Linked DNA regions of Coturnix japonica. The protein of the gene in region 1 purifies or fractionates together with the protein of each later gene. This does not show direct contact. Links are inferred from orthologs where the notes say so. Each region holds a gene or a part of one and is shown on either strand. Other genes may lie near its edges.

Evidence for each region.
Region 2: the proteins of PLEKHO2 (region 1) and CAPZB purify together in Homo sapiens (affinity purification with mass spectrometry; 3 studies listed by BioGRID and IntAct, counting the BioPlex papers as one, with this or other methods). This does not show direct contact. The link is inferred for Coturnix japonica from reciprocal best matches to the Homo sapiens genes PLEKHO2 and CAPZB.

Annotation. Positions count from the first base shown.
Region 1 is NC_029525.1:16,009,709-16,014,022, reverse strand, and holds the start of PLEKHO2 (pleckstrin homology domain-containing family O member 2), read right to left. Parts: upstream 2,889-4,314; 5' UTR 2,667-2,888; coding exon 2,658-2,666; intron 1-2,657.
Region 2 is NC_029536.1:4,122,529-4,126,764, reverse strand, and holds the start of CAPZB (F-actin-capping protein subunit beta), read left to right. Parts: upstream 1-1,368; 5' UTR 1,369-1,499; coding exon 1,500-1,502; intron 1,503-4,236. UniProt on the Homo sapiens protein: F-actin-capping proteins bind in a Ca(2+)-independent manner to the fast growing ends of actin filaments (barbed end) thereby blocking the exchange of subunits at these ends.

The DNA.
Region 1 (4,314 bases):
CAGACACTCCCGTGGCCAGAAGGGAGTGGAGATAGGGCAAGTGAGTACAGACAAGTTCCAAAAATCCAGAGGAAAGCCTTACTAACAGATCTGTTTTCATGCACCAGTCTCCCAGAAAACACACCCTTGGATAGTATTTGGGTGAGCTGTTCCTTAAAGACAGAACTTACACCCATGATGAGAAGCAAAACAGATTAAACCCGCTGTGTACAAATGCTTATTCCAGCCTTCAGCAAGGTCAGGAAGAGGCTCGATGTCTGAAACACAACCAGACTGCCTCAGGTAAAGGTAAATCACATAGAAATGGCCACCAGCCCTGGTGTGCTTTGCAGAATGAAGCCATTTCATGGTGCAGTGCTGTGTTTGACAAGACCCCGCAACAGGATGGCAGCTCACCAGCAACTTTTCCGGGAAATGAGAAGGACTGTGTTTTTTTTTAAGCTTGACTTTTTAGGTTGCCAGGAAGTTGCAGTCAGTTGCGATCTGCTCCTTCAGCAAACATCAACTGCTGCGCCAATACAGACCTGGTGGTGCATCATCCCTTTTGATGTCATGCTTGGGTAACTGGGCACAAGCTTTGACCTCACACCTAGCAGTTCTGCTTGCACACGGCTGCACCAGCAGTGGCTCCTCACCCATCTCCTTGTTACTCCTAAATTGGGGTTTTTTGCTGTTCAGATCAATCTTTATTTTTTCTCTCGACGGCAGAATGGCTGCCTGAAAACACACAGCAAATCAGCCTATCTGTGGCCTCTTTGCTCTGCAGGGTGAAAACCCTCTCCTCTGTGGTTTTACAATAGAAGTATTCACTATAAAGTTGCAGCATTTCACATCTACCGCTGAAAAAGCAACCCACCCTCATAACTACTTTGGTTGGAGGTTATTCTCATGCTTGCACTCACAGCATTTACCAGCTGACATCTCAGGACAACCTCATCAGGATTTCCACTTCTAGGCCAAATTATCCCCATCTGTGCCTGAAGCCTGACTGCTCACCCCCTCTGTCTGTAGCAGGAGTGATGCTTCAACCCACACACGGGGCAGAACACATGCATGGGATGCTCTCCCAACCACATTGTGCTTCCCATGGTGCTGGCATCCCATGCCTCTGGCTTGTGCAGCCCCTTGATCTGTCAGCAAGGGGAGGTTTGCCAGGGCAGAGCACTGGGAGCAGGACTCAGTGTCCGCTCCATGCTTGCTGCTTGTGATTCCATGACTAAAATTGGAGGGCAGCACAAAGAGATGATTTGTTGTTGTTAATTCAGCTTTCTGTGGGTATTCCTTCTGCTGGAGGCAAGAAATGCTAAGATAGCCATTCCGGGATGTTCCCGGGCTGGATTCGTGCCTGATGCTGGTGTAAACCCATGAGAATAAATCCACTGACATCAGCCAAGAGAGCAGCAGAACCAAGGGAAGAACTGAGTTATTCTGTCACTGCCTGAGCCAGCAGCGCTGGTCCCACAGCCAGAACAAGTCATTGGAGCGATTTATAGCATGGTGGCATGAAAAGTGCAGCACGAGTTGGACTCTGCTTTACCTTCATGTTTTACAGCTCGCCAGAGATGTCAAATTAGGGACGTGGGATGGCTTTTCATTTAACAATTAGGCAGTTATTTCTGCCTTCCTTCCCCTGAGTTATAGGGGCCCACAAAACCACATACTTTCTGCATCTTCTGACAACAGCAGAAACCAGCAGTTGGACTATGGCGGCTCTTTCACAAGTTGCACACACTGCACAGGAGTGTTTTAGTCAGCAAGTGGTGCAACGGGTCCATCCCACACTGCAGCACGGATGCATCTCCAGATCCATCTCCAGTTGTGTTCCCAGACCTCAGCTTCTTTCTTACCCCTCAACCTTCACTTCCAACATGTTGCTGGCACTCCCACATCTCCACAATGCAAGAGCAATATTAGACATCGTACACATGCATGTGAGACCTGAGAAGCTGTTCAGGTGCCCACTCCCAGTAGGACTCATTTATGGCTAACGAAGGGCACACAGGCCGCAACCCAGCAGCGCCCATTGCATGCAGCCACCAGCTGGAAGCACTTTTGTGCTATGGATTTCATGGATGCCGGCGGATAATGACAAACTTTCAGTCCCCACCACGCTGGGCTGCCTTTTGGTCTTCCTGCTGTTGTGGCCCTTTTGGAAGAAGCCCTTATTCTCACCACAATATTTGGGGAGTTAAGCATGGGGAGAACAAGCCAAGCTACCAGTGCTGCATGTCCCGGAGCCCGCAGCCTGCCCTTCCTCGTGCATCAACAGCAAAACCTCGTAGGGTGGAAGGGAAGAAGGAATAACCGGGTGAGCAGACGCGTGGAGGAGAGGAGCCGCTCAACTTGCCAACAAATCTGTGGCATCACGGGGCCGTGAAAAGCTCCACGTGCAAAAGCACGACAGCCTTCCCCAAAGGAGGAGGAGGAGGAGGAGGAGGAGGAGGAGGAGGAGGGCGGCCGCTGACAGGCACCCGGCCAGCACCCAGCTGGCTCCCGTTGGAAGCACAACACGCAGCAGGACGCAGCACCCCAACACAGCAAGTTGTACAAGCCGCTGGGCTGGGGATGCTGCGGCAGCATCAGAGGAACCCCCCGATCTGGGACCGGCCACGACGCCCCTCCCTGTGGCTGAGCTCCGAACCCGTCCCTGTACTCACTTGCTCCATGGTCGGGACCGGCCGCTCCTCGCCGCCCGCTCAGGGGCTCCGCCGCCGCCGGCGTCCCGCAGCCGGGCAGGGGGACATTCCGTGCTCTGCCTCCGCACCAACTTCACGCCGAACAGCAGCAGCAACAGAAACCGAGAGACAGCGCCGGGTTTCCGGCAGCTCCGGAGCTGCGAGCGCGGCCCCAGGGAGGCGGGGATCCCCCTCCTCCGGCCCCGGCCCCGCCGCCGCCTCGCCTGGCCCGGCCCCCGCCTGGCCCAGCCCCGGCCCCGCAGCTCCGTGAGGCCGCGCCCGTGGGCAGCGTAGGGTGGGAGATGTCGGAATGGAGGGACCGGGGTCAGTGAGGAGGCTGGGATGTGGTTCTGGGGTCACATAGGGTGGCAGCGCTCAAGGGAAAGGGTGCGTGTTATAGGGCAGGGTCTGCAGGGTGTCATATGGACAGTAGGGATGGAGCGGTGTCTAAAGGGTGGGAGATGGACCAGAGGGATGGGACAGGGTCTAGAGAATGGGACATACACCTTAGGGGTCTGGAGGATCAGGCATGGACTGTGGAGGTGGGATAAGGTCTGCAAGGTGGGAAATGTGCCACGGAGGTGGGACTTGGATTGTAGGGGTGAGACAGGGCACCCAGTGTTGGGATGTGAACCTGGAGCCCCTGGTCTGGGGCAAAGAACGGTGGTGTCAAACAGGTCCCTGAGGGTCAACCACAGCCCCCAGGATCAGGCTGTGGTCTCCAGCATTCAGGCCAGACCCCGCGGTGGGATGGGACCCCTGGAAGTGGAGGCTCATGAGGGTCAGGCAGGGGGCAGTTTAGGGCAGCAGTGCCCCAGGAGCAGCAGGATGGGGTGCAGGGTGCAATGCTCAATCAGGCACCATTTGGGCACTGAGCTTCTCAAAGTCCTGGTGCACATCCTGGGCTCCGTGGGCTGGCACTGTTCCTTGGAGCAGCGCAGTGTCCTCAGGATGATGTTTGCTTTTGGCAATGCCCAGGGGAAACAGCTGGAAAGTGGTCCTCAGTGGCAGAACTGGTTAACACTACTAGTCACGCTCCAGCTATTGTTCTCTGCTGGTATTCAGCTCCACAGACTTCTGCTTCTATTTCAGTCCTGCTGAAGGGCTCGTGTACCCTGCAGCCTGCCTGTTTTTTTTTCCTAATTATTTCAGTCGGTCTAAAAAAAGATATTACCTCCCTCTGCAAGCCTTGTCTCCATTGTTCTCAGTGGGGTGAGAAGAGAAGGAGAAGAAAAGCATTGATACCTCCAGGTTAAATACACTTTTTCACAGGTATCTCTGCTTGCTCCACTTTGCACAGGGTCCAGTCTAAGACAGAGCTGAGAGCACGCAAACAGCAATTAGCAGTAATGAGAAGAAACACCTGATTGCATCTCCTTCATATCAGCTTGGCTGTGGCTTTGGCAGAGGCTCCGGTCTCACCAGTGAGATCCCTTTGCTGGGTAAACACCGTCTGCAGCCTCACAAGTAGCAAAATTGGGCACAGAAAATGCTGATTTGGTGCAGGCATGGACCTGGCGAGCAGCTGTGAGCATCCATGCATCTCATCCCTGCGAGGCTGGGCCCGAAGTTCTGGGTGCAGCACAGAATGAGTTATTGTTAAAAATAATACAGTGCTGAAGCCAAGCTTTCAAAATGA
Region 2 (4,236 bases), on another chromosome or scaffold:
CTGAGCCTTTTGAGTGCACTCCTGGCTGTAGGTGAATGACTCCATGCTGGGAGCTGTGGGACATGCCTGGAGTTCAACTCACAGCACCCAGATCTACTGAATATCTCCCACTCAGAGCCTGAATTAACTTTGTTTTATATCAGCCCCTCCAAGAGCTACAACAGAAGGTAGGATGGCCAGAACTGTAGCTCCACGCAGGGAGCTTTCAACCAGCTGAGATCTCCACGCTGCAAATTGCAGCTTGCCAGGAAGAGCTTGCTCCTACATCTTCATAAACAAACAAAAGCATTCCCTGCTATAAACAAGCAAAGCAAGCAGCTGGTCCTCATTGGAAAAGACGTTACATCCATTTCACAAAGGAATCCGCAGATCTTCTTCTTCATGCAAATATTTTGGGGCAAACAAAAAGCAGCTGTTTCTGTTGCTTTATACCTATTAGCAGGGAAACAAAATCCAGGATGCTTGTATTTCTTGTAAGGAAAACATCCTCTTGGCATCGATGTTCGTTCAGATCTCAAACTGTTTAACACAGGCTGCATGAATCTGCTTTTGCTTTGTGTTCAGCAAGAGGGTAGAAACCTTTTTTGCTCATTAAGACCTAAAAGCAAAACAGCCGTTGAGGAGCTTGCATGGGTTTATAACAAAGGTTGTGAAGTTTAGAATGTATGTTTTATCTGCTCTGTGCTCCCAGCTCATGTTAATGTGCGGAACGCTGTTAAAGAAAGGAATAATGTATTGGAGTGATGAAGGCAGCCTTTAATTACTGCTGGTAGGGACCTCTGGAAGGATTGAGGGCTGGATAATAGAAGGTGCTTGTATTGCTTGAGCTGGCATCTCTTGGAAGGTTCTGCCTGGTATCTGAGAGCTACTAAAACTGAACTAAAACCCATCTGTGATAATGGCTGAGTGGAAAATAAGAGCTTGGCCTTGGATGTCACCCGCCGGGTGGATGTACCACAAAATGTCACCTCCCAGGAAAAAATGAAGCCGTTCCCTTAGAGAACGCATCAGTTCTATTACAAATGCACACAGTAATGCCGTGCTTTCACAGCATTGCATCACAGCAGGAAGCGATACATGACTGCCCTTAACAGCATTTCCAGTTTCTACAGCAAACCAAGGAAAGCAAAGTACAACCACCACCACAGCGGCGCGCCGGCGCGCTCCGGTAGGCTCCGCCCCCTGCACCTGATTGGCTGCACTTCTTCCGGTCTCCCCCCATTGGCTGCTTGGCGCTGCTCCCCCCGCCCCTCCCGCGCTTCTCTCCCGCCCCGTCCGCGCGCAGCGCTCCATACTTGGCGATGGCCGGCGAGCCGCGCTCTGATTGGTTGAGCTGTGAGGTGAGGGCGGGGCCGGCGGGGCGATGACCCGGATGTTCACTCCTAGGCAACGGCGGAAGTGGAAGGGCCGCGGCCTGCCTCGGAACGAGGGAGAGCGGAGCGGAGCGGACCGGGAGGCGCCGCCGTTGCCACCGCCCAGCGCAGCCCCGCCGAGCCGCCATGGTGAGCACCGTGCGGGATCCGCCGCTTCCAGCCCCGCAGCTGGGCCCTATCGCTTCCTTTTCCCTCCCACGGGGCGGCGGTGAGGGAGGCCCCGGCTGCGGCCTGCACCGGGGGGAGGCGGTGGGGGCAGGGCCCGCGGGGGGCGGTGGGGCAGGGCCTGGGGTAACGCAGGGTCTGGCGGCTCGAACGGAGCCGGGACTGGCGGCCGGAGCGCTGCCTCCAGCCCCGCGTCGCACCGCAGCTGTGCGGAACCAGGAACCGGCGGCGTGCGGGGCGGCCGAGCCTGCCCGGGCAGACACCGCTGCGGTGTGTGCGGCTCACACGATGAGGGTTGGAGTGTCTGGCTTCTGCAGCCGTGTAGCGCAGCCTGGCCGCGATGTGCTGGGGGGTGAGTGCACACAGAATGACCCGGGTTGGAAGGGTCCTCAAGGATCATGTAGTTCCAACCCCCCTGCCTGGCAGGGCCACCAAACATACACCTTTACTAGATCAGGTTGCCCAGGGCCCCGTCCAACCTGGTCTTGAACACCTCCAAGGACGGGGCATCCACAACCTCCCTGGGCAGCCTGTTCCAGGGCCTAACCACTCTCCTAGTGAAGAACTTCCCCCTAACATCCAACCTAAATCTTCCCTCTTTTAACTCAAGTTCACCCAAGGGACAAAACCTTCGGTTTCCCTTTGGTGCTGTGCGTGGAGGGGGTGCAGCCCCTGGGGTCTCATCTCCTATGGGCTCACCCAGCACCTAAGGGTGGAGATGTCTTGCTGTGCCCAGCCTGCCTGGCGGGGTGCCCACTGAGCCCCTGTAATACAGCGTACCTGGAGGGCTGTAATTGCTCCAGTGCTTGGTACTGCTCAGGAATTTGTGGTTTGATGTTTTTTAGGACTGTTCAAATATAGTTAGGTTCAAAATGTACCTGGTTACATGTAAAGACTGGTTTAGTAATCAATCCTTTGCTTCAACTGTAAGAATTTCAGAGGCAATATCTTATCCTTTCCTCTGGAGGCTGAAGGTCCTGGTGGTCCCAATGCTTATATGGCACAGGATGAAGATGTTTGATTTCTAGTGGAAGGTGAAGAAAGCTTATGATCAAGATTCTGTGCCTGTTGGAACAAAGCTGTGCTTGGCACCCAAGCGTGGGATTGGCGTGATGGAGCATCTAACTTCACATGTGAATGTTAGACCAAGAGCCCTGGCTGAAGTCTTTGTACACAAGACCTGCTGCAGGATTTATTAGACAGGAGGCCAACCAACTGTCCTAACTTAAAAATCCTCACAGAGAAAGAACTGAAGGAAAACAAGCAGGCTTCATGTAAAACGACAGTGGTGTTACCTGCTGCTTTTAAGGGAATGCAGAAGTATGCTGTAAGAATGATTCAGTTGAGGTGTGTGACTTCGTTACTCCTTAGGGGAGATAGAGCACAAGCCCTTTAGGAGTTTTTTGAGTGCTGTAAGCTTTTGCTGTCTTCTGATTTCTCATGTTTAGTCATGGAAAGCATTGGGTACAGGAGAAACCTGACCAGGATCTCCAGTACTGTGCTAGGCTCAGCTGTTGGGTGGACTTCAGGTAGGAACCTGTGGCAGCTGCCCCGTTATTTGTGTGTTGTGGTGGCTGTGTACACACCCGAAGGTTTGTTCACTGAGTGGGGCAAGTGGAGTGTGGTTTATGCAGGCCTACTGCAAGAAAGGTCACTGGGCTTGGTTACAGGAGACAAATGAGCTGTGGTGATGTGTTAATAAAGCCTTGCTCTTAGAATCAGCATTATGCAGACAATGCAATTCTGGCACCCAGTTTCAACTTTAGTTCCCTTCTGGTTTTTAGAGTATCCCCAGGATCTATTGCTTTTGTAGACAATACTCAAATGTAGCATGAAGGAACTAAAATAGGTCTGGCACTGACAGCTGCTGTTTTATGTGGTTCATACCAAAGCAATGTAAGATTTGTGAAACTAAACACTTTTTCATCTCCCTGAATTCTGAGTCTCTGATTGTGATTGTGTCACTCTTGAAACTCATGGCATCAGCTCAGGGAAAGTTTTCAGTGCCCACAGCACATCCTTTAGTCCTTGTACCATCTAAGAAATCCTCGTTCGTGTTATTTTGTAGAGTCCATGTTTTGTTAGCCACGTATGTGAGCTTAGATAAATGCTGTCTTAAAAGCCAAGTTCTCCAAGTAAATCAAATTGGCGGGTATTGCTGGGATAGGGAATACTGTCATTGCAGTGATGATAAATCTTTGGCTTGAGAATATTTGAACCACAAGATCTTCAGATGGGATTTCCTCATATGGTAAATATATGTGCTGATATCTTATTAGTTAACATCTGGGAATAAACCGGAATGAAAGCACAGTTTAACTCTTTTGAATTACTATTTTTAGTGCTTATTACATTAGTAGCTCAATGATTCTCTTTGGGAAAGATATGTTCTGCATTAATCAGCTGGACTTCTCTGTTGAGTTTCCCATGCAAAGGATGGCTGATGAGCTGCAGGCTGTGCATGGAGCGTTCTCCTGCCTGCCCTTTGGAGGTATGTTTGGTCACATCCAAATGGTTCCTCACTCTAATTCACACTGTAGAGCTGTCACTCAGACACTGTGCATTGTAATTTCTTTCCAATTGATTTATGTAAGGAGCTCTGAAGAGTTTGCAGTGCCCCTCCAAACCTTTGTCTCTCTTCCCCTGGTGCACAGGGTCCAAAGCAATTGCCTCCAATGTGCCCATTTTTCCTGATCCT